Notamacropus eugenii: one gene and its partner. The protein of the gene in region 2 interacts with the protein of the main gene of each other region in a pairwise test. Links are inferred from orthologs where the notes say so. Each region holds a gene or a part of one and is shown on either strand. Other genes may lie near its edges. The genes, in order: PLP1 and BCL2L13.

The links.
Region 1: the proteins of BCL2L13 (region 2) and PLP1 interact in binary tests that used the Homo sapiens proteins (3 or more experiments, as listed by UniProt). The two-hybrid records come from large-scale screens. The link is inferred for Notamacropus eugenii from reciprocal best matches to the Homo sapiens genes BCL2L13 and PLP1.

The regions. Positions count from the first base shown.
Region 1 is NC_092879.1:92,931,410-92,948,224, forward strand, and holds the start of PLP1 (myelin proteolipid protein), read left to right. Parts: upstream 1-8,841; 5' UTR 8,842-9,001; coding exon 9,002-9,005; intron 9,006-16,815.
Region 2 is NC_092874.1:207,160,639-207,176,859, reverse strand, and holds the start of BCL2L13 (bcl-2-like protein 13), read right to left. Parts: upstream 6,299-16,221; 5' UTR 5,945-6,298; intron 1-5,944. UniProt on the Homo sapiens protein: May promote the activation of caspase-3 and apoptosis.

The DNA of each region.
Region 1 (16,815 bases), on a different chromosome or scaffold from region 2:
CCTTTATGGAACATAAACAAAGTCACAAACACTGTCACCTGGTCCCATTAGGTAACTCTAATGTGTGATCTTCAGTGTCCTTCTGGACCAGGGCCTGGGAGTACTGCTCAGACCCCCAGGGCAGCAGTTAAGATGTAGTGCAGGCCTGCTCTCAACTGCCAGGGAGCTGCTGGAGCAGATCATGGAAGCCCAGAGCAGCTGGTGACAAGAAACATGTGGCTATGTTGGGGGGGGGGTCCCTCTGGCCCCCTATCTTCCTGGCTCTCTGCAGAAGATCGTCATCCAGATCACACTGTGTGTGTCTTGGCTTTGATTCTCATTCATGAAATGGGGAAGGCTCAAGACCACACACACCCAACTGGCCACATGTGTGTTTGACCCATGGCCTCCACTCCCTGAGTGCCGGTCACTGAGTCATTGAATTTTAGAGTTAGAAGGGGCCTCAGTGGCACCCAGACCTGAACAAGAGTCCTCATTATACTGTCTCCCAGCTTGGGCCCCAGAAGTGGATATCCAGCATCTGCTTAGAGGGCCTCCAGGGAGATGGAGCCAGTCCCCTCTCAAAGAAGCCCAGTCCACTTTGGGGTAGAGCTCACTGGGAAGTTTTACCTGGTACCAAGTTGCAAGTTGCCTCTTTGCACCTTCTCCCCTCCCCCCTTCCCCCTGCCCATCATTGTTCCCTCATGTATCCTCTGGGGCCAGGCAGAGCAATGTTAATCTTTTCACATGCCAGCCACTGGATCCACCCAATCCAATCCATCCATCCATTAATGGAAGGCAGCCAGCCATTGTGTCTGCCCTAAGCCTTTTCTTCCCTGGAGTCAACATCCCTGGTTCTTTGAACCTATTCTCACATGATGTGGGGGCAAGGCCCTTTGCCCTCCAGCTGATGAATGTCCTTCTCACACCAGCACCCAGAATCACACACACTACTCTAGGTGTTATCTGACCAAAGTGGGCAACGGCAGGACTTGTACCTTCTTGGAAGTCATGGCTCTCAATGGAACCCAAGACCATGTGGGCAGCTGGAGGCCCAGCAAGATGATCACACAAGCACATAGGCTTATCTTAGGTCGTTGCCTGCTCCTGGACTGCCTCCCCTTAGCTCCAGGGGAGTGTTTGAGACAATGGTCTTGACAACCTTGACCCTACTGGGCACCACCAGTAAGACCCTCTGGCAAGGGTACTATTGAAATCTAGGTTGGCTTCTTGGAAGACTACCCTACCTGGGGACAGGAAACCAGAGTCCCCCTCTCCCACCATCTTGTAGCCATTGAGCCTGGAGGCTGAATCCTGTGGGAACCCTGAGCTCCCCAGCGAAGAGTCTGCAGCCGTTCATGGCCCATAGGTCTGTGGTTAAGAATCAGACACCAAACCAGGTAAAGAGACTCATGCCATGTTGCCCTAAGGGAAGGCAGGCAAATTTTTTTCCACCCACCCTTTCACCTCCACCTGAGGTGGGGCTGCTAAGGAGGGGAAGAGAGACTTAGAGGGACCTTGGCCAGGACAGCAGATAAAGAACAGGGAGGTGTTTTGGCCTCAGAAAGAGTGTCCAGAGTGGAGGTCATGTGGAAGGCTCAGACTAACAGGTACTCAGCCACAAGGATCAACCAAAAGCATGAGAGAAGGAGAAGGGCCACTCGGCCCTCCTCCAGCATCAAGGAGGCCTGGCCTTGGGAAGGCACCAGGCCCACAGACACTGTCCAGGGAGCTCTACTAAGCCATGGAGGGAGGCATACTGTGCTGCTTGGGTTTTACTGTCCTCCTTTAAAGCAAACTTATTGCTGTAACATTGAGATACCCCAGGAGTGGGCCTCCACATCCTGAGGACACTGGGCACAGACTGCTGGGGACTTCTTTGTTGACATCTGCAACCCAAGAGATGTACCTGAGGTTCCTGGGATGTTACACCTAGAGCTGAAAGGAGCCATGGGCCCTCTAGCCTAACTCCCTCATTTTACAGAGGAGGAAACTGAGGCCTTTCTTGGCCTGAAGGCATCTCTGACTACCTGTGTGGGCCTCAGTTTTCTTACTTGTAAAATGTAGGTGCTAGACTATATGACTAGCTCTAGATTTATGTGGGATGACCTATACACAAGGGTCACAACTGGGACCCTGCTCCCACTCCCCTGGAGGGGAGCCTCTTGTCCCTCCCTTCAGGGCCTCACTGGCCTGTGGACTACTCAAACTTTCTCAGTCCATTTGGGTTTCTGGTGTGAATGGCAGTACTAGATTGGAATGCAGGTTCAAATCCTCCCCAGACTTCCTAGTTATGTGACCCTGGGCAAGTCAGTTCTTTTTTCCAATCCTCAGTTTTTTCATCTGTAAAAGGGCTGCATAATCCTTGCATTGCCTGCCTCTCATGGCCATTGGGAGGTCTTATAAGTCTTAAGGGCTGTTTCATTTTGGGGGGATTCTATATCCCTCTGACTGTGGTAAAACTCAGGGACCCCTTCTCAGAAACATGTTTTTAAATAACAGAAAGAAATGCTAAGTTTCAGAGGTTACTGAAAATGAAGATGTTAATTTTTTTCCTAGCCAAGTTCATGTCACTCCCCAATCTCTCCATGGACCTGTTGGGGCTCAGGTTAAAACCCCTTCTGGGTCAAATAAACAAGAGTTCTTGTGGCCATGGGGTATGGGCCCTCTGCTGCCCACCCCCCCAGAATCACCTCCTTCAAGCTTGGCTTGTTCTACATCTGAAGCTGGGCCACCCCAGGAATCTTGGGGGCTTGTTCTCCATCTCCCCAGGGCCTAGGGGAGCCAAGAGCCCCATGTGCATTGTGCCCAGCAGTTCAGCTCCACAGGCTCCAAGCTTCCCTCAAACCCCTGGTTCTCTTCTCCCAATCTGCCTGCTGGCCATTTCGGAGGACCACTCCTTCCACCTCAGGCCTGCCTGAAGTAAGGGCTGGGGAGGGAGACAGGCAGCAGCCGCAAAGCTGGGAAAACATGGGGTGAGGCTGCTGATGGGCTTTTTGCAGGTGAAAGACATCCCCTAGACATCGGAGACAGTGCTAAGAGCAAGGGTGTCAAGGCTAGCCCAGGGGGGCTTTTTCTTGTTTCAGCCTTGTGAACAGAGCCTGTGCTGATCCAGTCAAGCTTGCCCCCCTCCTTGATTGGGCTGCTTGGCCCCCATTGGTCCTCTAGGAACTTGGGAACTAAGCAGGGGCAGGGGAGGGGGAACAGGCACATTCACAAATGAATACTCTGAGGGCAAAAGGCAGGACTCAACAAGGTTCATGCCAAGCATCCCTGGGAAGGAGGGATGACTTTCGGTGGAGAAGGCCAAGGACCAGATGGGTATGGGTCCTGGAGGTAGTCTAGTGCATATTACTGCATGGTACCAGGGCAAACCACTTCCTGCCCTTTGGGCCTCAACTTCCTTATCTACCAAACAGTCAGTAGCATGTTTAGGGAAGCTGCAGAGAAATGAAGGCTGTGGCAAAAGCCTGGAGGAGGGCTTTCCAAATGATTAGCATGGGGAAATGTGTGAACTCAGTACAAGAAAGATTTATTGATGTGAAGGGAAATTGATGTGTGGAAAATAAGATTAGGGAAGCCAGACAGGGGAAGGCCTTCAGTTCTTACCAGGACAGCTCCTATTTGATCCTCAAGGCACTAGAGAGCCACTAAAGATTGAGTGGAGAGAGTGACACGGTGGTCAGGCCTGTGGTATAGGAAAATGGTTTGGGTAGATGTCTGGAAGCTGGGTTGGAGAAAAGGGCTGCTTGGGTGAGGAGGCCATTTCAATAATATAGGGGAGAGATAATGAAGGCCTGAATTTGGGCAGGGCCGTGTGAATGTAGAGAATAGAATCAGCACTGCTTGGCAAGACTGGCTACAGAGGATGAAGGAGAGGAGAGAGTAAAGGATGACCCCCAAGTTTAGACCCCTAGTCTAGAGAAAGCTCCTTAGCCCAGGGTTTACAGACCTGCTGCCCCCAAGGACTCATGGCTAGATTGGGGTGGGAGGCTGGGGAATGAACCTAGATAGTAAAACAACTACATTTTTTTACTAGGCTGCAATTGAAATTTCTTATTTTTGTCAGTTCCTTAAAAGCATGAGGGCCTAAGGAAGGCAGGTGTATGCACTGGCAGGGATCTGTATCCACAGAATGGATGCCCCTGGTGGGCAGAGGTCAAAGCTTGGGGGAGAGGTCTGGATGAGCAGTCAACTGGCTCACTACCTCCATTCAGATGCAAATGTTTTTCTCTCCCGTTCCCATGAGTGGGACTGGTATCTGGCAGGGCCGAGAGGTCAAGGCTGGAGGAAGGCAGGGAGGCTGAGATGCTTGGACCTCACCTCACCTTGGCCGTGACTTGACTCCCAATTGACCATAGTGAATCAAAGTTTAAAGAGTTGAGACCTTAAGGATTCTTTCCTGGAAACTGCCTTACCCAAGTATCAGAGAGTATGCTTTCTGTTATCTTTGTAGGGAATTTCTGGACTTCTCCTCTGCCTGGGAACAGCCTGGGATTTCAGAGGAGGTCAGGGCTTGAGGGGAGGCCCTTGGTTCACAGCTTGACAAGTGTCTGCTGATAGCTGAGATGCCTTGTTTGGGAACCCCTAGGTAGGGCCCCCATCCACTGGCTGTTCTCCAACCCAAATGTGAACCTAAACCTTGGCTCTCATTCAAATGTCTCAACCCCCACCACCATAGATCCAAGTTTATAGTAGAGGGTTAGTGAATGTTTGTGGCCTAAGGCTACATGTAGCTCAGACCTCCTGTGACCTATGTTCTGAGGCATGATGCTAGGAAAAGACCCTGCTTCATCCCCATCTGCCATCCCCAAGTGAATCAGCCTGCCTTGGAAGGTGAGAGCTGGTAGTTTGTCCTTCATTCTGAAAGAGGACCAATGACATCATGAGGGTGATGTCTTTCCTTGTGAGTAAATTGGGTTTAAGTGAAGTAGAGCCCCACAAAGTCATCAGCCTCACTCTCTCTTCCAGTCATCAAAGTCCGGTGGAAGGGCAAAAGTCAAGATTGGCTATGGCCCAGGATGCAGTGGATGTCCTTGGCTTTTCTAAATCAAGGTCTTTCCAAGGCCTCAGTTTACCTGAGCCCACACACCCATTCAGTGACCAAGGGCTAGGTAAGAATTGAGACAAAAGATGGCCTAATTTACCAACACATCAGTCTGGGAGGGGCAGACCCCCCAAATTTCTGACTGGAAGAGAAAACAATAGCTATTTACATTGATTGGTAACTGGTGACCTTTAAGACAAGACTGAGTAGCTCATTCAGGATTCTCTGACTCCAGCCTTCTCTCTGCAGACCACAGAGGTGGCTAAGAGCAGATGTCATGGCCCTTGGGAGAACTGCTTCTGTCTTGGACTTGGCACATGACTGTGGGCTCTCTGGGAACCCTTTCAGTCATGTGTGCTGTCATTGGGCTTTGTGATTCTGAGATCCCCACTGTATTGTGTGTCTGTTCTCTGCCACTGGCTAGGGAGCAGGGCAGGGGGCGCCATTTGCCAGGGCTTTGAGGGATCTAGGCTTGCTGGGCTACCCTGGTGGATTTCTACTTCCCTTCTCCTAAAATACTTGTCTGACGTTGGGCTTCCAGGTGATTTTCAGCTCCATCCCCAGTACTTGTACCCTTGGCTTTCCTCACACCTCACCCACCCCACCTCTTAGAGCTAGAGTCATAGCTAGAGGTTTCCATTCTCAAGCATCTCCACTCCATCCACAGCCTGGCCAGACTTAGCCCTGGGCCCAAGAAAAGCCAAGTCAGTGGATATGGGGAGGCATAAGGTAGAGGAAGCTGAGGACATGATGTTCACATGCAGTATGTTGCAGATGAGCAAACCTCTGCCCCAGGCTTAGAACAAGTATAGAAAGTAACCCATCTCTTCCTCTGATTATCAGTCCAAGGAATATTTCCCAACAGTAAAGAACCTTATATAGGTGATGAATTTCAATTTTCTCTCAGCTGAGATGAGGCCTTCCTCCTGACTCGAGTCTGAGGGGCCAAGTTCTAATCTTGCCTCTGCTCTTACAACTTGTGACCTTTATGGGTCTCAGTTTCCTTATCTGTAAAATGAGGAGGTTAGGGTTATGATTGGTCCAGCCCTGGATCTTTGAACCTACGATCCCCCATTAGCCTCCACTATGATTGAGCACCTCTCCTGGGCCCTTGGGGCAGCAGTCACTTGGACAGGCACGGTGGGGCAGGAGAGCCCACCTTCTGTGACCTTTCTAGGAGATCAGGCACACAGGGAGCCCTGAGGAGAGCCTGGAGCTGCCCACGGGGTAGCTCCTAGGAAGGGAGGCATGCACCCCAACACCAGCTGCCATGCTAGGTGCCCACATCCTATCAGTTGGCCTCAGCGTTGCATGAAGCAAACTGTTTACCACTCCTTACACAAACGTCCATTGTTTCAGAGGCGCCCACTGCTCCAGGCATCAAGCAGCTGCGGAGAAGGCTGGCACTGCCCTCTGGAGGGATACCTGGGGAGTGCTGGGGAGCCCTGCCAAAGGGATCTCAGGTGGTTGGGGCAGAGCTGGGGAGAGCCCCTCACTTGCCAGCTCATGTGGCCATGTTCCATTTGCTTGGCATTTCTATGACTGTGCTGTCTCCCAGGGCCTGAGAGAGGCTCCCAGGCCTCCTTCTGTAGGCCTGCTGGGCCCCAAATCCAGAGCACAGACAGGAGGCCATCCTCTGGCATCCCCTACAGAGAGGGAGGCAGGGCAGGACAGACAGTGGGAAATGGGAAAATGTAGTCGGTAAAATGGAATTTCGTTGGCATTCCTCTGGTTTTCTTCCAAGCAGGTCTAGTCCTGGCCCTATTTGCTGATTTTGCACTATTTACAAGCTTCCAGAATATGAATGACTAACGGGGAATCCTTTGTGTCTGGACACAGCTTTAGAGAACCCTGTCCCTTTCTATCCCTCCCCTCCAATCCAAATCATCCAGGGCAACTCAGCATAGTTTTACTAAATAGTGGCCCAGGACGCCACAGGGAGGTAAGGCTAGATTTGAACTGAGCTCTCTGCACTCCAGAGCAGGTTACATTGTCACCCCTCCCCAGGAGAGAACAAGACCGGGCTCCCAGGATTTCCTCCCCAAGCAGTAGAGTCCAGCTGGTGGCTAGGGGCCTGGGCTGAGGCTCACCCTTTGGGGGTGACCGTGTGAGCTTCTGCATGAGAACAGGACCTGAACACTGAGATTGAAACTGCAGGGGGTGGGTTTATTCCAGAGCGTGCAAGCTTGGGTAAGTGATTCCCCCTCCCACTGGGCCTTAATTTCTCCCTCTGTAAAACGAAAGGCTTGGATTAGATGATCTCCCAAATCCCTTCCAGGTCCAAGGACATAGCCTATCTGGGCCCATGCCAGCTCATCCCTTACCCCAGCCTTCAGAAAGTTCACTCTGCCCCCAACAGAAAGGCAAGAAGAACATCATGAACTTCCCAATGTGGTCATGAGATCAGAGCAGTAATAAGTGAGAGCGAGGGAAAGGAGCCAGAGAATGTCCCCTCTGCACCTCCCCCTTCCCCTCTGCAGAGGTAGGCTGCATGGCAAGGGGCTGGGCTCACGGACTCTTCCCACAGCCAGACTCTTGACATGTACCTGTCCACCCCAGCAATGGGCAGAGGAATCCCAAAGGCCCCCAAACCAGAGGAGGGCCCACCTCCTCCAGAAAGCCTGTGGAGATGACCACTACCTCACACTGGACACCAAGCACTCCTGGACTCCCCTAACCCTCGGGGAACACTTCTCCCTTTGGTATCCTGCTACTTAGAAGCCCACCACTCTATACCAGGCTCTCCCTACTTGTTCCCAGACCACTGCAGCAACCTTCCCAATGGTCTCCTTGCCTCCAGCCTCTCCCTTTTCTAGTCTGTCTTCTACACAGCTGCCAAACTTCTACTTCTAAAGTACGTCTGACACATCTGACCATGTCACTCCTTTGCACAAGATGTTTCCTCCAGGATAAAATGCCACCTCCCCTGTTTGACTAATTTCATATGAACTGTCTCCTCCCTCCACGGCCCCCACCTCACAAACTCAACTCTTACTTGTTCTTCCTGGTACCTAGAATTCCATTATCTCCTGCCTCTGTGCCTTTGCCCAGGCTGTGCCCATGTTTAGAGTTCTTTTATTCTTGGTTCCTTTCAAGTCTCAGCTCAAGGGTCAAGTCTCACCTACTAGCACCTTTTTCTGACTCTTCCTGTGATTAAAGCTTGGCTGCACACAAGCACAGTGGAATGTCAGCCCCTTGGGGGTAGGGTCTGTCTCCCCAGGGCCCAGCACAGCACTCGCCTTTAATGGAGGCTTCCTAGGGCTTCCTCATTCTTTTTCCTTGGCTTTTTGTCTGGCTCCCTGAGACACTAACTTGGGGGGTAAGGGCAAGCTCCATATGCCCAGCATCTGGCACAGTACCCAGCACACAGTAGGTGTTTACACACAGGAGGTGTTTACTTGTTAAGTGATTGTGCATTTGGGACAAGGTAACCAACAATTCCTCAGTTGGATCTTGGTCTCAGGGCATCTGACCATCTCATCTTTGGAACCCCACCCCACTCCATTCCCCCCAGTGCCATCCCCCCTCCTTTTGCCCATCTGGCTACCAGAATCATTTCCCTTCTGGCAACCCCCAAGCCATAATTTTTGATGTTACTGAGGAAGAGTGGGAAACCACACTGACAGCAACGAAAGGGAAACAAAATCCAATCTGGCAGCTGTGGGGGAAAAGCAAAGACACAGCAAGCCCTAAGAGAAGGGAGTATCCCGGTGAGGGGGGGGGGGGAAGGGGAGGAGAGGGGGCAGAAGGGAGGAGGAAGAGGAGGAGGAAAGGAGGCCTGTCCCTTTAAGGGGATTGGCTGTCAATCAGAAAGCCCTTTTCTTTGCTGGAGAAGAGGACAAAGATATTCAGAGTGAAAAAGTAAAGGACTGAGGAAGGAGAGGAGAGAGCAGCCAGGATTCTCCTCCCTGAAGCAAGTCTGTCCCAAAGTCGGAGAAGCAGCCAACCCTAGTTGGAGTCCGGAGTCCCAAAGCCATGGGTAAGTTTGCCAAGAACTTTAGCCACAGACACTGGAAGGTGGGACTGGTCCAGAGCTGGGGTCAGGCTGGGGATGCCCTTGGGGCTTTTGAATTCTAGGACTGGAGCATTGGGTTTCTAGTGATTCTGGGGTCAGGATATTCACTTTCGGCCCTGAGGGTGCTGGGTGCTGCTGCCTCATCACTCTCCATTTAGGATCCTGCTGGAGGAAATGCCAGTCAAGGAGGATAGATTGGCCTTTGTCCCTTTGCCCGGCTCCATTTGTCTCCCTCTTCCTCCTTCTCCATTGCTCTAAGGTCTTAGTGGCTGCTGGGCCTCTCCTTCCCCTCTCTTCTGTGGGACCAGGCTCAGAGTCTCTTGGAAGCTGGCCCTTAGCTCTGTCTGTCATCTCTTCATGGCTTGGTAGAAGCCTGGGGGCGCTGTCCTCTGGCACATTCCCTTCTAAGCAGGGTCTTCGGGGTACAGTTATCCCAGCCCATTTGTCAGCTAGAGTGTCCTTCACAAGAGAGTGTACTTTGCTCCTGTAGAAATGCAGGCTTTGCCTGAAAATCTCAATCGCTTCCTATAGGAACTCCACTCCAGTGACCCTCTGGTTGGTCCCCAGACTTCTGCTACACATAAAGTTCTCACTAAGATGACCATTTGTGTTCTTTCTAGTCCTTTCTGAAGGATGGAAAGAGGGACCAAACATTTATATAGTGCCTACTATGTGCAGGCACTGTGCTAAGTGCATATTTGTAAACAAATATGATCTTGTTTGAACCTCACAACAGCCCTGGGAGATAGGTGTTATCATTATCCCCATTTTACAGATAAGAAAACTGAGGCAGGCAGAAGAAAAGTGATTTTTCCAGGGTCACACAGCTAGTAAGTGTCTGAAGCTGGAATTGAACTCTAGTTTTCCTGACTCCAGGCCAGTGCTATATCCATTGAACCACCTAGTTGTCTCAGTGTACAGAGGCATCTTTTTGCAGGCCTTGTACTGCTAGTGGGGTATAATAGAAAGAAGGTTGGCAGAAGAGTCAGGAGCCCCCAATTCTGTCACTCATTAATTGTGTCATCTTGGTCAAGTCACTGTCTGGGTCTCAGTGGCCTCCTACAAAAGGAAGTGTTTGGATGTCCTGATTTCTAAGGTCCCTTACTGCCTCAGATCTCTGGCTTGGCTTCCCCTAGCTGTAAAATGAAGGAATTTGCTTGCATGCCCTTTCATCCCCATGCTGTGGTATAGTGGAAATCCGGCTGAATTTGGGGAGGATGAAGGTTTGAATCCCACTTCTGTCACACTGGGCAAACCGCTTAACTTCCCTGAGCCTTAGTTGTCTCTTCTGTATGATGGGGCTAATAATGGTACCTCCCTCTCAGGATTGTTGTGAGACTCAAGATAGCATTTGTGTAAAAGTGCTTTGCCAACCTTAAGATGTGGGCTCTGATGATTCTTAGGCACTATACCTGAACATCAGTTTCCTCACTTGGAAAATGGAGATAATAATCATTGTTCTGCCCCCTTAATAGGGTTACCAGTGGTCTTATACAAGGCAGTGAATGGGAAAGTTCCTTAAAAGTTATACTCTACAAGCACATGAGGGCTTGACTCCGAGCTGGCTCCAGCTCCCTGGGGTGGTTGAGCCCTTCCAGAAAAAGTTCTTGGAGTACTCTAGGTATTAGTGTCAGAAACATGTGGTCACCAGAGGAAGGTGTCTGGGGAAATGTCCTCTGGAGACAGTGGGATGCCAGGCTCCAGTCCTTGGAGATACCAAGGACTTGCCATATGGGCCAGGGAAGAGGGTACAAGTGAAGTGGTGAGTGGCTCAGGTTCCAGATAAGAAGGGATGAGGGTGAGGAGGGGTGTGAACAGGCTGAAATGCAATGCCTTTCTGCCAGCCAGGTATTGGCTTTAGATTTCAGCAGGACAAGACAGCCTCAGATAGAGGGTACTGCCAAAAGAAGGGGCAAATCGTACTGGAACTAGGCTCAGAGATAGGCCATATGCATCAGCTCCCACCTATTGGGTAGATGGAGAATAGTTCAGCCCGCTGAGATGAGGCCACCTCATGATGGCCCCCGGGGCTGTGGCCCCAGCCAACTTGTAGCCATGACATTGCAGAATGCTATAGTGTCTACCCTGGTTCCCGAAAAGACTGCAGGGATTGGGATTAGGGAGGCATCAATGACAGGTCCTTATGATTTGGCTTTGGTGGGGGACATGGACAACAGGGCAGAAGAAACCCAGAGCAATGCCAGATTCTCTTTTCTTGGTAATTGATCACCCCTCTTGGAGCAACAAAACTTTGGTTCCTAGAGTCTAGCCTTTAAGACTGAAGATTGAGAATGGTGGCTGTTACCCTGGTAACCAGACATCTTCTGCTTCATTTGAAGAGCTGTTGTTTACTGAGAAGGAAGTTTGGGCTTGCTTGGTGTGTGTGTGTGTGTGTGTGTGTGTGTGTGTGTGTGTGTGTGAGTGTGTGTGTGTGTGTGTGTGTGTGGAGGGGGGCTCAGGAGAAGAGTATGAAGGACAGAGCTCATGGCTCAGTCCAACAGCCCACAGCACCAGGAGACAAACTGGGTTCCATCAGCAGCCCTGATGTTACTTGAGTGATTATCGAGGAACAAACGAACATGTTCTTACTTAGCCAATCTGTTCCTGAGATAGCAGACTAATGCATTTGGGAGACCCCTTTGTCCCTTCTCTGACCTCCTCCCCACCAAAGCTAGGTAAACAATGAGCTCTGGGATAGGCAGACAGCAGGAAAGCACCAGAAAGAGCAGTAAGGGAGGGAAGGAGGAGAATCTCATCCAGGAAGGGAGACAGAGGTTTGGGAAGAGCCCTGGAATGAGAATCAGAGGACCAACCTAGGTACAATTCCCACCTTGAAGCATTTTGGGCAGATCACTCCCCCTCTTGGCTTCAGGTTCCCCATCTGAATGAGATGAGAGTCTCGTCTCGTCTAGTCTAGTCTAGTCTGATGAGAGCATCAGACTAGAATGATGTTCTTTAAGGTTCCTTTCACCCCCTATGTTCTATGGTCCTATGAAGCAAGAAACAGAGAAAAGGGTTTGCCTTTCTGAAGGGACTGGCAGCCAGAAACCCAGTGCTTCTAGATTTTTGTGGAGCAGGGGAGAGTGGGAACAGGAGCGAGGATTTGGGCCCTGGACCCAAACCTGTTGGGAGTGGAGCCTGTTCCAAGGATGGCATGCATCCTTCCCTCCCTACAGAGGAGGAAATAGGCTCAGAGATATGAAGGGATTTGGCCAGGATCTCCCAGGTCAGCAGTTACAGAGCAGATGGGTTTGGCCCATCGTTCTCTGGATCATAGTCTTCTGCCTTCCAACCATGGTGCTCAAGGAATGGCAGAATGGTCCAAATGCTGCTGCCCCAGAAGGAGACAGTTTCCTCTAGTGGTCATCAAATGGCAGAACTTCAAGTGCTATGGATGATCACCTGGTCCAACTGTCTTATTTACCAATGAGAAGACCTAAGACCCGAAAAAGAAGGAAGGGACTTGGCTAAGCTTCCTCAGCCAGCTAGCCAATGGTGGGGCTCATTACCTGACCTCATGTACCTGCCACACTTCATCCTCAGGTGGGGATCCCCTCACAGCAGATTGCCTCAGGGTTCATGCACCTTCATCTTCCCCACTCCACTCCCCCAAGCTGGCTTTGGAAGTCTCAGCAATTGGTCCTTGGAGCCCAAGGGAGGTACCAAGGCAGCAAATGAGGAAGGAGCAAAGAGGTGGAATGGGGAAGGAAGCCAGCTCACAGATAAGGCTTTGTCCAACTGTGCTCATCTTGGCAGCAAGGGTCATTGTTTATCTTGGCCTTTGCATGCTGTTTGTTAGTTCAGTCCTAGAACCCACCCACCAAACCTCACCCATCCCCAGTACCAGTCACGGCTGCTCTAGCATCTTAGACCTGTCAGTTCCCATAAGCCCCTATCAAGGAAGGCTCTGTTGACAAGGGCAGGGCTGAGAGGTTGGCCCTGGGTGGAGGGGGCAGAACAGGTCTCATGTCTGAGACTTAGAGATGAGAGCTCTCTTAACGGAGCCTGCTGCGTAATTAGGCCACCTCTCTCTCCCCTTTTGTCAGATGAAAGGGATAGGCTAGGAATTACACAGGGCTATGTTTTGTTGTCCTTGTCTTTCCATCCTCCGATGATCCCCTAAATTGCTGCGGGATTTTCACCCTCAAACCAATCATGAAGGGGACAAAGACTTGGGAAGCTAGCTTGTGGTAAAAGGCGATGGCTTCAGGTGGGATCCGGTCCTCACAGGTTGGCATCAATCTGAGGAATAGTTCTCAAGCCCCTGGGGACTCCAGCTGGTGACAGTCCTGTGACCTCCAGAGCCCCATGCAGGGTTCGGAGGGGAAAGTGCTTCAGGGCCAGTGATGGCTCCCTCTGAATCAGACCAAGTGGTCCAGATCTCTTAAAGAGTTCACTGACAATGAGCTCCAGTCAGCACCAAGTCACACAAAATCTCTTTGAATCGACACTGTCTCACACTGTCCTTTGATGTTTTCACAGGTTTTAGTCTAGCTGGAGAGAGAGACTCACCAGGATCCAGAATCTTAGAGCTGGGAGGGACCTCAGAGGTCACCAAGCCCACTCTCCTCATTTTACAGCTAGGAAACTAGGAAGTGACTTGTCTAAGGTCACACAAGGTAGTAAGTGGCAGAGCTGGGATTTGAATCCAGTTCTTGGAACTCCAGGTCTAGCACTCTTTCCACTGTACCACAATGCCTTCCCAAGACTATCAGCTCCTTGAGGGCAGCCACCAGAAGATGTCTTTTATTTTCTTCATGGCTTCTTGTCAGAGTCTTCTCAGCTATTCTTGTTTTCCCCATAGCACATTTAAATCTTGACCTAAAGTTTGCAAAGGATCTTTCTCAAATGACGTTAGAACGTAGGTAATCCAATGATGATGGTCCTCATCCTCAAGTCCAGGGTACTTTGTGCTGTGCTAAGATGTTCTCATGTAGTGGAAAGTTTGTGGGGGACTGTGAATCACATTGAAATTCCATCTCTGGAGCTCCTTAGCTGAATGACCTTAGGGAAGTCACCTTACCCTTCTGAGCCTCAGTTTCCTCATCTGTAAAATGGGAATAATGATACCTGAAGTATATCAGTAGTCAAAGGTTTTATTGTATTAGCCGGAGAAGTCTGGGGATATGACATCTCCCGGTGGATGAAAAATAGTTTCTCCAGAAAGCTCTGAAGGCCAGGGTGTTCTTGATAATAAAAGATTTTAAATGGAGAACACATGCCTCTTCTAGATGCAAGCAAATCGCTTGGCCTTCTGCACTGCAAATATTGACTTATGTCTATCGAATCTCATCTAACCAGCCTGCATAGCAGAGCCCATGTGAGCCTCAGCTGGAAGGGGACCGAGGACTGCCATGTGCACTCCAGGGGCCCGTATTCCTGGCATTTCCCATGTGGAGTCTGAGGTTTGGAGACATAACTAGGGCAGGGCTACTGGAGCTGTTTGCACACTCTAAGTTTCTGGACCCCGGCGAGGAGCTCTCACACGGATTCCTTCAGAGTAATTAAGCCCCCTGTCCCCACCTGAATTTGCTTTAATTACCTCCTTTTTATTTTCATACTGTGAATTACAAAGTTGCCTTTGAGGGTGCTTTGGGGCTGCTTGCCCCAAGAGACAAAGATGCCAATTGTGGTTCTGAAGACCAGTCAGACTTGCCCTCTGAGAATGCTGTTGGAGCAAACGGCCTTGTAAACGCTGATTTTCACTTGTCAGTTGGTCCGGGTCCTGGTGCTGGTACTGGTGCTGTCCCTGATCCTGGTGCTGATCCCAGTGCTAAGGACCAGGCCATGTCTGTCCTTAGTTGGGTTTCCATATTATCGAGGAGTTGTTTCTAGATAACCAGCCAGGTCTGTTTATTTTGGCCTTGATGTTAGATTTTTTTCTGAAACGTCTGCTTTTGCTCTCCCTTTGTTTTGAGCTGCAAATGAGGCACCAAGATATGCTAAGGTGTTTGAGGTCTGGGGAGATGCAGGATTAAAGGAGGACAGAGGAGCAGCTGGCAAGTCAAGCCCCTCCTTTCCCTGCTCCTGATTTAGCCTTCGCTGGAGCTAGGAGCATCCCAAAGGAAGGTCTTTCTGCCATTTGGAGGAGTGTGTACATGCAGAGTAAATGTGCTAGGTTGGGGAGGGGGCAATGCAGATCTTTGGCTTTTACTATATGGGCCTGCCCTATTTGGGGCAGCCTGGACAACGGCCAGTGGGTAGCACCCTTAACCCTTTCCTCACCACAGAGTCATTCCGTTGTTGCCCATCCTTCCTCCCACCCCCAACCCCTAGCAGCAGAATACTAAGGAGGCTGGAGAGAGGTAGCCTTGGTACAACAAAGCTCTTTTGTTCTGGAAATTGTGGAATGCTCTGTTTAAGTCCTGACCTTGTGGCAGGGTGAAAAAGTAGCAATGGGGTCACTGACCCCCCCAGAATTGAAGGGCCCTCCTTTAGAAGAGATTAAGATAGAGAAAACAGGGAGGAAGAGAGAGAGATGGAGACACAGAAGGAAAACATCAATATTGTCTACCTCAAAATTTCCTTTTCTCTTAACTCAGCAAAAACAAAACAAAACAAAACAAAACCGATTAGGATTGCTTGGGAATAAGGAATGTACCTTTCCTTCACTCTAAAAAGCAGAAGACTCATTTCAAGGGTTGTACTAAGAGGCACCATCTCTCTGTCACTCTTACTCATTGTGTGGGTGAATAAAGGCCTAGGTCTGTCAAAGCTCTTTTTTGGAAAGTTCTTGCTGACTAAACTTGGCCTCCATTCTCATCAGCGATGCAGCACTGCTACCTACATTCTCTGGACCCCGTAGAGTTCTGTGGTCAATTTTGGGTGCCATATCTTAGAAGGGACATTAACAACCCACACCACGGCCAAAGGAGGGAAGCCAGAAGGATGAGGACACACAGGCCACAGAAGAATTGTTTGAATAGTTAAATGAACTGGGAATGTTTAGCCTGGAAAAGGGGAGACTTGAGAGGGGAGCATGACAGCTGTCACATGGAAGAAGGAAAAGAATTAAGTTTTTAAAAATCGTTTTATTTTATTTTTGCATTGCTGTAATGAAAGACTTGCCTCCCTCGGCCACTCACCCCCCATAATGAAGAAGTATATAGTTGAGCAAAGCAGACAGACACATGGATCATGTATGATAGTGAATGATTCTGGAATCTACCAGTGACATCTCTCAGTTCCAGAGGACTGGTTGAAGCATGCCCCATTCAGGTCAATGGTGGGTCTGAGTTCCAATGTCTTGCTGTGGTTTTCCTTGTCCATCATTATGGACATTATATATTCAGTTCTTTGGGTTCTGCTTAGTCTGCAGCAGTTCAAATAGAATTATATTTAAGCAGCTTGGTCCTGGAGGTAAGAACTAGGAGCCATGAATAAAGTGACAGGAAGGTAGGCTTTAATCTTAATTGAAAGCCCAAACTTCCAGCCTTAAGTACGATGGGCTACTTCAAGAGTTACTGAGCTCTGAGGCTGGATAAACACTAGTCAGGGATGGTATAGACAGAGAGGATTACTGATCTGTTTCACTGTTGGCTGGGTGAAATAGTCACTTTGCCCAGAGGCTGAATCATCTGATACTACTACTACTACTACTACTACTACTACTACTACTGCTACTACTACTACCATCACCACCACTACCATCACCAATAAAGATAATAATGATAATAATAATCTCACCTGTATTTAGCCCTTTGAAATTCACAAAGGACTTTATACATTTTATCTCATTTGATCCTCACAACAAGTCCGACATACTCATCATAGT
Region 2 (16,221 bases):
TGAAAGTCACTAAGCTCAAGGTGTTTACATTCTAATGGGGAAGACAACATGTACAAAGGGTGTATTGGTATTTGGGGAGGACTAGCACCTCTGGTGTGAGGGCTTGCCTAGCTCTTTTAAGGGCTGTTCATCTATCTTTAGTGTCCACTCTCACCTAAGTCTCCAAGCTGTGGCACGCATAGCAGCCACACCCTGGTAAGCAGTCTCAGCAGGCAGACTAAAACAAGTTGAAGGTAACCAAAGGGTCTCAAACGTCTACCTCAAATGTCTACCCCAAGCATGTGAAGATTTTCCCCAGTGGAACGAGTACATGAAAACAATTTGTTACAAAGACCACAAAGACGCTGAAGCAGGGGCCATGGACTGCTTAGAGCTTGGTCAGACATCCTGGGCCACTGCCCATCTTGACTTTTGTCCTTTCAATGGACTTCAATGACTCAGGAAAAGAGTGAAGAAGACAACTCTGTGCAACTCTGCCTCACTTAAAACCAAGACATCAACCCATGACGTCACTGGTGCTCTTTGAAAATGAAGTACAAACAACAACAAAGGCTGAAAAACAGGGATTGGAAAGGACAGAGGCGAGGAGGAAAGACATCCAAGGCACGGGAGATAGCCAAAACAGAAACACTCAGATAGGAGATGAAGGGTTTTGTGTAAAGAATAACAAGTAGGCCATTTTGGCTGGACAATAGAGGAACAATGTATAAAAGAAGACTGAAAAGAAAGAGGCCAAATTATGAAAAGCCTTTGATGTCAAAGAGCTTATATTTGATATCAGAAATAACAGAAAAACTGAAGTTATACTTTAGAAAAATCACTTCTGAAGCTTTGTGAAGGACTTTGTGGAGAGATTTTAGCCAGAAAGAACAATTAGGAAGACAGCACAATAACATAGATAAGAAGAGATGAGAGTTTGATCCAGAGAGTGGAGATGGAGGGGCGGTGCAAGGAATGTAAATACAACTTTCAAGATATGACAACTTGGACATGTGAAGTGAAGAAAAATGAGGAGTGAACACTGAGGTTAGAAATCTTTGTAACAGGAAGGACAGTAGTAATACGGAAGTACAGAAGAAAAGATAGTGTTATTTTAGACAAGAGGACTTTGGATTATGAATTATCTAGTATGAAATGTTCATGATATGAGACTGGAATTTCAGAAAGAGAAAAGGGAACAATATATGGATCTGGAAGGTTTTGTAGAAAAGGTGACATCTGAGTTGAACTTAACAGGAATTCACAAAAGATTAATAATAATCCATCAAGTAATGATGGAAAGACACAACAAGCATAGGAAAGGTGCAAGACATTCAGGAGATAGTGCCCTTCAGTTTGCATACTTTCTTTACAACAACCTACTAAACAAACCAATATGTGGTGGCTACTTCCATGTATAACAGTAAGGCTAAAAATTACTTTCATGTGTATAATATTTTATAAACAATTTTGCTAAAGTAGCATTTACATAATGATTTAAAGTGTACAAGACACTAAATGTTAACTCATTTGACCCTCACAACAGCCCTGGGAAGTAGGTGCTATTATTATCTCCATTTGATAGAGAAGGAAACTGAAACAGAGAGGTTAAATGACTTGCTTAGGGTCACACAGCTAGTGAGCTTTTGAGGCAAGATATGAACTCCAGTCTTCCTGACTCCAGTTTCTATCTATTGCATAATACAAAGAGCTCTGGATTTGGAATTATAAGATCTGGGCTTGAATACCAGACAGTATTAACCAGTTTCATGATCTTAGTCGTCACATGGATTCTCTGGATCTATCTTCTGGCCTATAAAAAGATCACTGAAGCTTTCTAAATCTTGATCAAGAGAAAACTAACTACAAGGACATCATGAGACCTAAATATTTAGACTTACTGAATATAAGGACTTGTTTTGCTGGATTATGCTTATGAGGGGAAGAAGGAAGCATTGGTCAAGGAGGAAGGGAAGCTGGTTAAAGTGTTATCAAAAAACGAAAAGAAACAAATTTAAACCATTTTAAAATTAAAATTTTCCTAAAATTATAAACCTAATAAAATTATTAACACTACTATAACAGAAGAGCTGAATTAACACATCTTAATTCCATTTTATAGATGAAAAAATGGAATCAAGTTGATCTGCTCTATAATTGAAAATAATCTAACTACCAGTTCTCTGCTTACATCTCAAAGATACTGATATCAGCAGGATGCTTTGCATAAATTTTCACCAATAATCTGACTAATACAATAATTTACTTTATTTATCTCATATATTTAGATCTGGAAGGGATCTAAAAGATGAAAGAACTGACAAGAGAAAACAAATACAAGAGCTAGGGCTAGTACTAAAATAAGGACGGACTGACTTGTGAGAAGTTTACATTCTCTTAGAAGAGTAGTGAAAGGGGGAGTAGTAGTGTTTTGAAATGTTCCTTCACAAGGGCAATGAAACATTGATTTGATTATGGTTCAAGAATTGTAAGGTGGGAACCAGAAGGGGTAGGGAAAGGGAGATGACAAGAAGTTAGCCTGGAGTCTAGGAGATATAATAGGTAGAGAACAACAATAAGGACTACTAATGACAGGGGACAGCTAGGTGGCACAGTGAACAGGATGCCAGGCTGGAGTCAGGACTGATTTCATATCCAGCCTCAAATACTTACTAGCTGTGTAACCCTGGGAAAGTCACTTAACCCTGTTTGCCTCAGTTTCTTCATATGTAAAATGAGTTGGAGGAAATGGCAAACCACTCCAGTATCTTTTCCAAGAAGACCCCAAATGAGGTCATGAAGAGGTGCATACAACTGAAAACAACAACCACCAAGGCTTCTGCTTCAAAAGGCAAAGAAGCTGGGGAGATGACTTGGAAGTGAAATGAAGCCAGGGCTAGTTGCAGTAGATACTGGGATATCAGTAGGAGAGAAAAGATTAAATCTTTTGGGGCATCACTTTGATAAATTATGTAGAATTTGTTGGTGTAGTCAGTTGAGATAAGTACTTCATTGATGTTTTATATGTCTTTAGATCTCTCTTCAAGAGCAAAAAATGAAGATGCTTAAATACAAGTTGTAGATGCAGACATTCCACCATAGTGGGAAACACAGCCAGTCAAGATATAACTTGTTTAAAAAATACAACAGAGGCTAAGTATGGTATTTTAATAAATAATATACCATTGAGCTCAAAAACATGCATATCTAACTGAAACACACTAGTTAAAACTTTGTGATAACTGCCCAAAAATATTTATAGTCACTGAATGGCATTTCTTTATGCTTTGTTTCTGATCTCTACTACTACAAACAGAACTTTTCAGGAAGTGCTTTTCAAAATAAGTTAATTAAATTTCCCTAAGATTATCTATAAATAGGTGATGAGTATGGTGAGTGTGATATTAGTGCAAAAAATTTGCTTAGGGTAGGGACAGGGCAAGAATAGAAAGAAAAATAGAAAACTTCTACCAATACAGATAAGCCACTCCAATTAACAGTCACAAAAAGAATTTTTCATGATCTCAAGTCTTCCTTACTGGAGAAAGTCTATCTATCCATCAAGATATCTATCTATCCCTCAAGCCCCACTCTTTCTATATACAGCTCATATTTCAAGGCACCTCTTGCCTTCAGCACAATCCTCTGCAATAAAATGAAATATGTGTAAAGGGCTATATGGCAACCACCTTATTTGGCTGGGCTATTACTTAAAAATCTCATTGTGAGAAAACAACATTTTTGTTTTGCTAAAAAACAAAAAATGGTAACACAGGGAAACAACATCATACTTTAAAGCAGATGTCTTTAACTTTTTGGGGGTCAAGAACACAGCATCCAATGAACCCCTTCACAGAATGTTTTTAAATGCATAAAATAAAAAGCTTAGGATTACAAAGGAGATCAATTCTACTGAAAGAGCTATCAAAATATTTAAATAAGTTAAAGGACTCCAGATTCAGAACCCCTGCTCTGAAGGTTTAATATTAAAGGTATTCAATAGCTATTTGTTAACTGAATTTTCTAATAAATATTAACTTCTAGCTTACATAATCTACTAAACATGATCTCACATCCTTCAAAATAGGAAGGAATAAGGTTTAGTATAGTATCTTCAACCTATTATATAGGCTCCCTCACTTTCATTTTTCTCTAATGTATTTCAGTTGGAACTACCCTTGGGGAGCTGGGCTCTCATTGGTGAGCTTCCCCTTACCCAAATTAGGTGCTCATAAGGCTTCAGGGCCATTTCAACTGTGCATGTTGTCTGCCTGAAAGATGGGATAACTCCCCCCAAGACTAGACAAAGATCTAAGAAAAGTGTCAAACTGATGTGTGCACCTGATCAAGGTATGGAAAGAAATCTCTACAAAAGAAGGGGTGAGAGAAACTGGTATCACTTTAACCTCACTGTCATGTGAAACTGGTCCAAGTAGGGTAGAACAAAGGATTTGGTGTAGAAATACATTCAACTCAACAGGATAAGGAACAGGGAGAGGGTAGAGAAGAGAGAGATTAATCACAGGCACAACAAAATTCAGAGCAAGTAACTGGGAAGAAAAGATTTAAAAGGAAAAAAATAAAAGGTAAAAACCTATGCTTGGGGTCTGGGTAAGAGGAAAAGAGGGAGAAGGCAAAGGAGCATCAAGCATAGAGCACTATCAGATAATTAGATTTTACCCTAGCAGCAATAGTTAGATAAAGAGGGTTGCCAAGAAAGGAAGATAAAGACTTGGTAATATTATTTGGCAGCAGTGTGGAGGGTAGGTGTTGGAGAAGAAGCAAGTAGATCAATTTGAACCCTATTACAATTGGCTACACCAGAGGTGAGTCAGGTTGACGGATGGAAAAGTGAAGTGTTTCTGAGATGAGAGAGTTGTCGACTTAAAATAGTAAATTCCTTAAAAGAAGGGACTGTATTGGTTTTCAATTTTGTATCCTCAGTACCAAACATACCTGCCACATAGTAGGTGCTTAATAAATGTCTGAAAAATATAATAATTAGCTTCTATAATTATTTCCACATATCTCCAGACTGAATGATTAATGAACAGGATCTACATCGGGATAATTTCTGAGCCCATTTCCCCCAGCTTCATATTGCTAAATAAAGATTATTTCATAATGCTTTAAATAATCATGATACACAAGGTACATTTACCCAAGGGCTTGTGAATATTTCACAAGCACAAAAACATCACCAGCAGATTAGTACTTGCTCAATTCTCTAGAGGAAAAAAAAATACTAGAAGAAAGTGTCTACTTATCCAAAGTTCTAAGTACGTCAGGGAAGAAATAAATAACACTGGCGTTCTGGTACTAAATTTTCTCTCAAAGAACCTGTGAAAACAGCTTTTTTCAACCGTTCGTTTTCCCCCATTTTGATGAAAAGAGGCAATCCAGAAGCAAACTATAAAGAATCAGCCCGGTTTACTGACAAGTAGCCTTTGCCAAGCGCTTTGCATAGACTACCTCATTTGTTCCTGACAAAAACCTTGATAGGTCGGATTTATCATGGACCCCAGCATTTCTCTGTGGCTTCATTAATCCGGGGTCATACTAACTAGTCCCCACACCAGCGATTGGGCGAGTGACCCAGACGTACCCAAGTCAGTATCATTTGTAACATGACTTGATCACACTTAAGCAGGAGAGTTACAATTTATCAGGTCTCTGAGTTCCAACCACACGCAAGCCTCATGTTTCGGACCTGCAGTGGAAGCGACCCCACTCCCTCTCCCAGGACAAAAGTTGTCGCTGGAAAGCGAGGCTCGAGGCCAGGGACTGGTCTAGTTTCACCCCAACTGGGCCTGGGGAGGGGAGCTGGGAGCACAAAAGCCACGGGGGCGGGGGGAGGGCTGGGAAGGAGAGGCCGAGCTAGGGCACCCGAGCTCCCGGCTCCAGCCCCGGCTTCCTCGGCTGGCCCGGCCCGGCCCTGGCTGCCCGGACCCCGTCCCCTCATCACCTGGCCCTGGTTCCGGGGAAGGAAGAGAAGAAGGAGAAGAAGGAGGAGGAGGAGGAGAGAGAGGAGGCAGCGGCTGCGGCGACGGTGGGTCCTCAAACAATCCCGCAGCGGTGGCGGCAACAACAACTGGCCCGGCCCACGACCCTAATCTACTGCCGCGACCATGATGGAGGCGGAGGTCACCCGTGCGTGGTGACGTCAGCGCTAGCGTCTAGGCGGTCGGGAAGGGGAGGGTCGAAAGAAGGAGGGCCAGAGGCAAGCAGAGCCCCTCCCTCCGGTTGAGGGGGAGGTGTCCGGGGATTTGGCTGAGAGAGAGATCCGGCGCGGACACAACCGGAAGGAGTCTGCGGTGTCAGCTCCACCTCCGGCTCAGCGCCACTCTATAGTAGCGTGGGGAGGAAGTGACGGCGACTGCAGTTACTTCCGGTCGTGGCTCGGCTAAAAGATGGATGGTTATGGGGGGAGAGGGAGTAAGCATAGGTTAAAAAGACAATTTATGTCTTTTTGAGCCTCATTCCTAACTAAGTAGAAAGGGGAGGCGAGGGATTACTTCTAAAACACGCGCTGTGAGGTGGCTGGCGGTGGCGTCATTACGTTGTAGAGCTGTGTCATTGGGCAGGATATGGGGATGTCATTACGTAGGGTGGGGTGATGTCATTACGTCCGAAGGCGTCTGGAGGTGGGCGGCCTGGTCTTAGTTTTTCCAGTTGAGGGCCGGAGGGTGTTGTGGAGAGACAGCCAGCCCCAAACCCTGGAATTGTGGGTTCATAGGCGAGCTTCTGACACATACTGGGTGTATCGCGCTCTGACTCAAGTGGATGACTATTTCATCTCATTATCACTGTAGATTTTGTCCTGCCAAAAGAAGTGGGGTGTGACCATTATGTGAAGATTTATTTAAAAAAAAACAAACGTGCGGGTATTGTCTTTTAGTTTCTGCCAGTCTAGCACCACTCAGACCATCTCACCGAACAAGCCCGCTGGCCATAGCTAACCACTGACCTCAGATCCAGTTCACGTAATTGAACAGGCCTGTTCTTGCACTCAACCGCAGTCACGTCGTCCATTTAGGCCAAGACAGGACCACACTACCTAACTCTTCCTCTTGACCAGACAGAACCACAATATCTGCCCATGGAGGGCAGCGCGACCAGAATGTTTAACCACCAAACCTCCATTACCCAATCCTTTAGCAAACCCCTCCTGCCTTTTTAATATTCATAATTTCTGTTATATAATTGCATCTTTATCCTATAAAAATCCATCTTGCTTCCTCTGAAGTTGCTGGTTCTTCTTGGAACTGAGCCCACTTCATGAGACGTCAATCTCAATAAATGCCTAGTACTTGGATTAGAGGTGGGAAGACTGAATTCTTTGAGAGGGTCCTGCACATCAGGAATCCACAACACTGTTTAGCAACACAATCACTTTCAGTGTGAAGCCGGCAGAATAGTTTTTATATTTACCTATCATCAGAAAGAAATGCTTTGCCCATGAATATATTGCCAAAAGACAAACTGTACATTTTAGCTAGCGCTGGAAGATACAAGTCTGACCATATGGAGCGACTTACTCAATGCCTTCTCCCCTTGCACCTGGGTCACAATGCCAAAGATACATATGTATCCATATGCTTCTCTGTTTACCTTTTAAGCAGTATGATGAGCAGAATTCTACCATGGGACGATTATGCGATGAAATGTCATAAACCAATTTTTAGACAAAAAACAGAGTGTGATGAGCATACGGTGGTAACAGTTATGTGATGAAATACCATACTACTCTAGGCAATTCTCCCACCTTTGCCTAGCAATCTAGCAATTTCCTATACAGTTCAGTCACTAGGTAAAGAGAAGCACCAGAAGTCAAGACAAGGTCTAAAAGAGGAAGCTGAGTTAATTGACTCATTACATTTCTGTTGTTTATCCAAGACCTTGAGGCAAAGAAAATGGAGATAGGATAAAAATTTTTATTTCAAGAAAATCTGCTTGTAATTACCTTAAGTAGCCAAAGGAACTTGAGATAGGGTGAAATTTTTTTTCAAAGTAAAATCAAAATGTCTGCTTCAGGCAAAGAGAACAGAGATTCTGAGGTGAATTTTTTTTATTTAAAAGTAAAATTAGAAATTCTTTGCAAATATGTATATTTAAAGTACATTTGCATGGAGAGCTGTTCAGAAAGTTCTTCAGAAATGTACATCTCTTCATGACCCTATTGGGAATTTCCTTGTCAAAGATACTGGACTGGTTTGCCATTTCCTTCTCATTTTACAGATAAAGGAACTGAGTCAAACGGAGTTAAGGGACTTGCCCAGGGTCACACAGCTAGTACGTATCTAAGATTGGATTTGGTCTCACAAAGTTTAGTCTTCCTGACTCCAGGCCTGGTGCTCTATGCTTTGCACCACTAGTTGCCCCCAGTAATTAAAGCAACTTATAGTAAAAATACAAAAGTTCTTCATCAATGGCCTGGTTCTTCTAGTGTTAAGTGCTTACTTATTAAAATGTGGGGATTAGACTTAGGCCTGATATTCCCCAACACAATGTACACTGCATCATGTTGGCTACTCAAATCCATATAAAAAAACACACTCCAAAATCACGAGTCCAGCTTCCCTGCTTGTCTCCCATGCTTGACATGCTCTTCCTGCTTAAATCCACCTCTGGATTCTTTCAAGTCTCTCTTCTTTCAAGCACACCTATTTTTAACATTCATTTTTTTTAAATTTTGTGTTCAAATTCATTCCTTCCCTCTTTCTCCTCCCCTCTCGTTGAGAAGGCAAGTAATTTAATATAGGTTATACATGTGCAGTAATGTAAAATATGTTTCCATATTAGTCATGTGAAAGAAAAGACAAAAACAAACAAGAAAAATAAAGTTAAAAAAAGCAAACTTCGATCCACATGCAGACTCTATCAGTTCTTTCTGTGGAGAAAGTCACTTGGAATTCTCTTGATCAGGTGTGGAGAACTTGTGGCCTTGAGGCCACATGTGGGATTTGTTCTGGGAAGTTTGGATTCTGTCAAAAGGCTGCACTTGAGGACCTACAGGACTATTGCTATTGCTATTACTGAGAATAGGTAAGACATTCACAGTGGATCATCCTACAGTATTGCTGTTCCTATGTACAGTGTACTCCTGATTCTGCTCACTTCACTTTGCATCAGTTCATGTAAGTCTTTTCATGCTTTTCTGAGAACATCCTACTCATCACTTCTTATAGCACAATGGTATTCTATCACAATCATATACCACAACTTCTTCAGCTATTCCCCAATTGATAGACATCTCCTCAATTTCCAATTCTTTACCACCACAAAAAGAACTGCCATAAATATTTTTGTACAAATAGGTCCCTTTCTTTTTGTTTTTTATCTCTTTGGAATACAGACTTAATAGTGGTATTACAAGGTCAAAGGGTATTCAAAGTTTTATAGCCCTTTGGACATAGTTCCAAATGGCTCTCCACAATGATTGAATTAGTTCACAAATTCACCAACAGTGCATTAGTGTTTCCACATCCCCTCCAACATTTGTCATTTTCTGTTTCTGTAATATTAGCTAATCTGATAAGTATGAAGTGGTCCATCAGAGTTGTTTTAATTTTCATTTCTTGAATCAATAGTGATTTAGAACATTTTTTACATGACAATAGATAACATTGATAACTTCATCTGAATTGACCATTTATCAATTAGGGAATGACTTGTGTTATAAATTTGATTCAGTTTCCTATATGTTTGAGAAATAAAGCCTTTATCAGAGAAACTTAACTGCAAAAATTTTTTCACATTTATGATTCCTGTGTATTCCCTCCATTCTATTTCTTCTTCTGTTTATCCTACTCTTATCATTCCTTTCACCTTGTCCATCCTAAAAGTGGTTTGACTCCTACTACTACTTCCCCCAACCCAAACCTCTCTTTTTATTAACACCATCCCCCCATTTCTCTTATTCCCTTCCCCTCCTACTTTTCTGTAGGATAAGATAGATTTCTATACCCAACTGAGTGCGTATGTTATTCCCTCTTTGAGCCAATTCCAATGAGAGTTGAGGATCAAGTGCTCTCCTTCCCACCTCTCTGCTCATCCTCTATACTGCAAAAGCTCTTTTGCACCTCTTTTAGGTACATTTATTCTACTTCTCCTTATCCCTACCTTTCCCCTTCCTTTTTCTCACTGTTTAATTTTATTTTTTTAGATATCATCCGATAATAATCAAGTCACATCCAAGCTGTCTATCTGTGTATACTTCTTCCAGCCTAATGATGATAACATTCTTCAGAGTTACAAGTATCATCTTCTTAAAGGCCTCATCTCTAAAATATAGAGAGAACTGAGTCAAATGTACAAGAATACAAGTCATTCCCCAACTGATAAATGGTCAAAGGATATGAACAGGCAGTTTTCAGAGGAAGAAATTAAAGCCATCTACAGTCATATGAAAAAATGCTCTAAATCACTATTGATTAGAGAGAGATGCAAATCAAAACAACTCTGAGATACCACATCACATCTGTCAGATTGGCTAACATGACAAAACAGGAAGATGATAAATGTTGGAGAAGTTATGGGAGAGTTGGAACACTAATTCATTGTTGGTGGAGCTATGAGCTGATCCAGCCATTCTGGAGAGCAATTTGGAACTATGCCCAAAGGGCTACAAAAATGTGCATACCCTTTGACCCAGCAATATTGCTTCTAGGACTGTATCCCCAAGAAAGCATAAAAATGGGAAAAGGTCTCACTTGTACAAAAGTATTTATAGCAGCACTCTTTATGATGGCCAAAAACTGTAAATCAAGGGGATGCTCATCAATTGGGGAATGGCTGAATAAACTGTTGTATGTGAATGTAATGGAATACTATTGTGCCATAAGAAATAATTAACAGGAAGACTTCAGAGAGGCCTGGAAAGCCTTATATGATCTGATGCTGAATGAAAGGAGCAGAACCAGGAGAACTTTGTACACAGCAATAACCACAGTGTGTGAGGATTTTTTCTGGTAGACTTAGAACTTTACTGCAATGCAAGTACTTAAAAAATTCCCAATGATTTTTTAAGGCAAAATGCCTTCCATATCCAGAGAAAGAACTATGGAATTCAATCACAGAATGTAGCAGATCATTATGTTTTGGTTTGTTATATGATTTCTCCCATTCCTTTTAATTCTTCTATGCAACATGACTATGGTGAAAATGTATTTAGTAGGAATGTATATGTAGAACCAATATAAAATTGTATGCTGTCTCAGGGAAGAAGGGGGAAGGATAAGGGGAAGGAGGGGGAGGGAGGGAAAAAAATCCAAGTTATTTGGTACTGATTGGAGAACACTGAAAATAAAAAAAAAAAACCAAACCCAAGTATTATCTTCTCATGTAAGAATGTAAACCATTTAACCCTATGATTTTTCTTTCCTGTTTACCTTTTTATGCATCTCTTAAGTGTTGTACTTGAGAATGAAATTTTCTATTCAGCTCTTGTCTTTTCATCAGGAATGCTTAAAAGTCCTCTATTTCATTAAGTATTCATTTTTTCCCTTGCAGGATTATATTCAGTTTTACTGGGTAGGTGATTCTTGCTTGTAATTCTAGCTTCTTTGTCCTCCAGAATATTATATTCCAAGCCCTCTGATACTTTAATGTAAAAGCAGCTAAATCTTGTGTTATCCTGTGGCACCACAATATTTAAATTGGTTTTGGTTACTTGCAATATTTTCTCCTTAACCTGAGAGTTCTGAAATTTGGCTATAATATTCCTGAGAGTTTTCATTTTGGGATCTCTTCCAGGGAGTGATCAATGGATTCTTTCAATTTCTATTTTTACCCTCTGGTTCTAGAACATTAGGGCAGTTTTCTGGATAATTTCTTGAAAGATTATATCTAGACTCTTTTTAAATATACTTTGTATTTTTTCCCCAATTACATGGTAAAACAATTCTTTTACATTTTTTTGAAGTTTTGAGTTCCAAATTCTATCCCTCCCATTATCCCTTCCTTCCTACTCCTAGAGATAGAAAGCAATCAGAAATAGGTTATACATTTGCAATCACATAAAATATTTCCATATTAGTCATCTGATGCTGGGGATTTTTTTCTTAGACAGTTCATGGATGACTTGTTCAATTTCTCTTTATAAGATTGGGTTATTTATGTATTTTATTTCTTCTGTTAATTTGCGTAATTTGTATTTTTAGAGATCCATTTCATTTAGATTATGAGATTTATTGGCATGTAATTGGACAAAAGAGCTCCTGATAATTGCTTTAACTTCTTCATTGGTGGTGAATTCACCCCTTTCATTTTTGATACTTTCATTTTCCCCTAAGGACTGCTTTGCCTGCATCCCACAAATATATAGGAAATTGAATCAAATTTATAAGAACATGTCATTCCCCAAATGAAAAATGATCAGTTCAGATGAAGTAATCAAAGCCTGGATGTGGATAGCATTTTCCATCATGAGTCTTTTGGAGTTGTATTGGATCATGTGTTACTGAGAAGAGCTAAGTCTATCAAAGTCATTCATCACACAATGTGGCTGCTACTATGTACAGTGTCCTTCTGATTCTTCTCATTTCACTCAGCATCAGTTCATATAAGTCTTTCCAGATTTTTTTGAAGTCTGCCTGCTCATTATTTCTTAGCACAATAGTATTCCATTACATTCATATACCACAAGTTGTTCATTCATTCCCCAGTTGTTGGATATCCCCTCAATTTCCAATTCTTTACCCCCACAAAAGGAACTGCTATAAATATTTTTGTATGTGTGGGTTCTTTTCCCATTTTTATGATCTCTTTGGGATACAGACCTAGAAGTGGTATTGCTGGGTCAAAGGATATGCACAGTTCTATAGCCCTTTGGGCATAGTTCCAAATTGCTCTCCAGAATGGTTAGATCAGTTCACAGCTCCACTAACAATGCAATAGTGTTCCAATTTTCCCACATCTTCTCCAACATTTATCATTTGAGAAAAAATTTTTTAAAATAAGAACAACCCAAGAAAAATAATATTATGAAAAGAAAGTTAACCCACTGGAAAAGGAGATTCAGAATCTTTTTTTTTTATTTAACTTTTAACAATTATTTTCACAATATTTGGGGTTACAAATTTTCTCCCCTTTTATCTCCTCCCCTCCCCAAACCCAAGCATTCTAATTGCCCCTGTGACCAATCTGCTCTCTCTTCTATCATCCCTCTCTGCCTTTGTCTCCGTCTTCTCTTTTGTCCTGTAGGGCCAGATAGCTTTCTTGACCCCTTAACCTGTATTTCTTATTTCCCAGTGGTAAGAACATTACATTTGATCCTAACACTTTGAGTTCCAACTTCTTTAGCTCCCTCCCTCCCCACCCCTTCCCTTTGGAAGGCAAGCAATTCAATATAGGCCAAATCTGTGTAGTTTTGCAAAAGATTTCCATACTAGTTGTGTTGTATAGGACTAATTATATTTCCCTCCATTCTATCCTGACCCCCATTACTTCTATTCTCTTATGATCCTTTCCCTCCCCATGAGTGTCGACCTCGAATTGCATTCTCCTCCCCATGCCCTCCCCTCCATCCTCCCCCCCACCCTGCTTGTGCCCCTGTACCCCACTCTCCTGTATTATGAGATAGGTTTTCCTATCAAAATGAGTGTGCATTTTATTCTTTCCTTTAGTGGAATATGATGAGAGTAGACCTCATGTTTTTCTCTTGCCTCCCCTCTTTATCCCTCCACTAATAAGTCTTTTGCTTGCCTCTTTTATGAGAGATAATTTGCCCCATTCAACTTCTCCCTTTCTCCTCCCAATATTTCTCTCTCACTGCTTGATTTCATTTTTTTTTTAAGATATGATCCCATCCTCTTCAATTCACTCTGTGCACTCTGTCTCTATGTATGTGTGCGTGTGTGCATGTGTGTGTGTGTGTACTCCCACCCAGTACCCAGATACTGAAATGTTTCAAGAGTTACAAATATTGTCTTTCCATGTAGGAATGTAAACAGTTCAACTTTAGTAAGTCCCTTATGACTTCTCTTTGCTGTTCACCTTTTCATGGTTCTCTTCATTCTTGTGTTAGAAAGTCAAATTTTCTTTTCAGCTCTGGTCTTTTCATCAAGAAAATTTGAAAATCCTCTATTTCATTGAAAGACCATTTTTTCTCCTGAAGTATTATACTCAGTTTTGCTGGGTAGGTGATTCTTGGTTTTAGTCCTAGTTCCTTTGACTTCTGGAATATCCTATTCCATTCCCTTCGATCCCTTAATGTAGAGGGTGCTAGATCTTGCGTTATCCTGATTGTATTTCCACAATACTTGAATTGTTTCTTTCTAGCTGCTTGCAATATTTTCTCTTTCACCTGGGAGTTCTGGAATTTGGCCACAATGTTCCTAGGAGCTTCTCTTTTTGGATCTCTTTCATGCGGTGTTCTGCGGATTCCTTGAATATTTATTTTGCCCTCTGGTTCTAGAATCTCAGGGCAGTTTTCCTTGATAATTTCATGGAAGATGATGTCTAGGCTCTTCTCTTGATCATGGTTTTCAGGTAGTCCCAGAATTTTTACATTGTCTCTCCTGATTCTATTTTCCAGGTCAGTTGCTTTTCCAAAAAGATATTTCACATTATCTTCCATTTTTCGAATCTTCACGCTATGTTCTGTGATATCTGTCTTTCTCATAAAGTCCTTAGCGTCCATCTGTACCATTCCAGTTTTGAAAGATCTATTTTCTTCAGTGAGCTTTTGAATCTCCTTTTCCATTTGGCTAATTCTGCTTTTGAAAGCATTCTTCTCCTCATTGGCCTTTTGAACCTCTTTTGCCAATTGAGTTAGGCTAGTTTTCAAGGTGTTAATTTCTTCAACATTTTTTTGGTTCTCCTTTAGCAGGGAGCTGATCTGCCTTTCATGCTTCTCTTTCATCTCTCTCATTTCTCTTCCCAGTTTTTCCTCCACCTCTCCCAACTTGACTTTCAAAATTCTTTTTGAGTTCTTCCATGGCCTGAGCCCATTGGGTGGGCTGGGACACAGAATCCATGATTTCTGTGTCTTTGCCTGATGGTAAGCATTGTTCTTCCTCATCAGAAAGGAAGAGAGGAGGTGTCTTTTCTCCGAGAAAGTACCCTTCAATAGTTTTATTTCTTTTCCCTTTTCTGGGCATTCTCCCCAGCCAGTGGCTTGACCTCTGAATATTCTCCTCACACCCACCTTGCCTCCTGGTCCTCCCAGCCAGCGTTTGGGGACTGAGATTCAAATGCTGCTTCCTGCCTTAGGGCTTTTGGCAGGGGCAGGGCTGCTATTCAGTGTGAGAATTAAGTTCAGATGGTCAGGTCGGGGCAGGGCCGCCTCTCAGGCCCAGTTCCCTCAGAGGGTTTATGCACAGACCTTCCACAATGGATCCAGGCTCCCGCCCGCTTGGGGAGTCTGCAGCCGCCTCTCAGCTTCTATCTCCCGGGGGGGGAGGGGGCCGAGCCATGGGGGCACCCCACTCCCCTCTCGACCCGCCAAAGAGACTCTCTCACCGACCCTCGTCACCTGTGGGTGGGGGGGCTTGTGCTGCCGCTGGAGATCCCGTCCCTAAAGCCTGCTCGGATCTGTACCTCTCGGAGCCGTGGCCGCCGCAGGTCCGGGCTGGGCTCTGCGTCTGCAGCGCAACGGACCTTTTGCGAGAGGTTTGCAGGTCCCTCTGTGGGTGGAGGGACCCTCGTGGCTGCAGGATATCTCGTCCCCATAGCCCGTTCAGATCTTTTCCTCATGGTGTCGCGGCCGCTGCAGGGCTGCACTCAGCTCCCAGTCCCGGCACCCAGTCCACAGCGCGAAGGACCCCCCACGAGAGGTTTGCAGGTCTCTCCGGAACAGAAATCTCCCTCGCTCCAATATTCCGTGGTGTCTGGGTGCAGAATTCACCGTGGGTTGGTCCCCTCTAGCCGTTCTGTGGGTTGTGGGTTCCGAGTTATGTGTATGTGCGTCTTTCTACTCCGCCATCTTGGCTCTGCCCCCGAGATTCAGAATCTTAAGGAAGAAAATGACTCCTTGAAAATTATTACTGGGCAAGGGGAGATGGCAAAGTTATAAGAGACCAAGAAATAGTAAAACAAAATATAAAGAATGAAGACTTGTATGAGTTGATACAAAAGAGAAACTTGAAAAGGTAAACAGGAAAGAGAAGTCATAAGAAACTCATTAAAGTTGAACTGTTTACATTCCTACATGGAAAGATGATATTTGTAACACATGAGACCTTTTTTTTCAATATTAGGATAGTTAGAGAGAATATACATACATATATATTTGTGTATGTG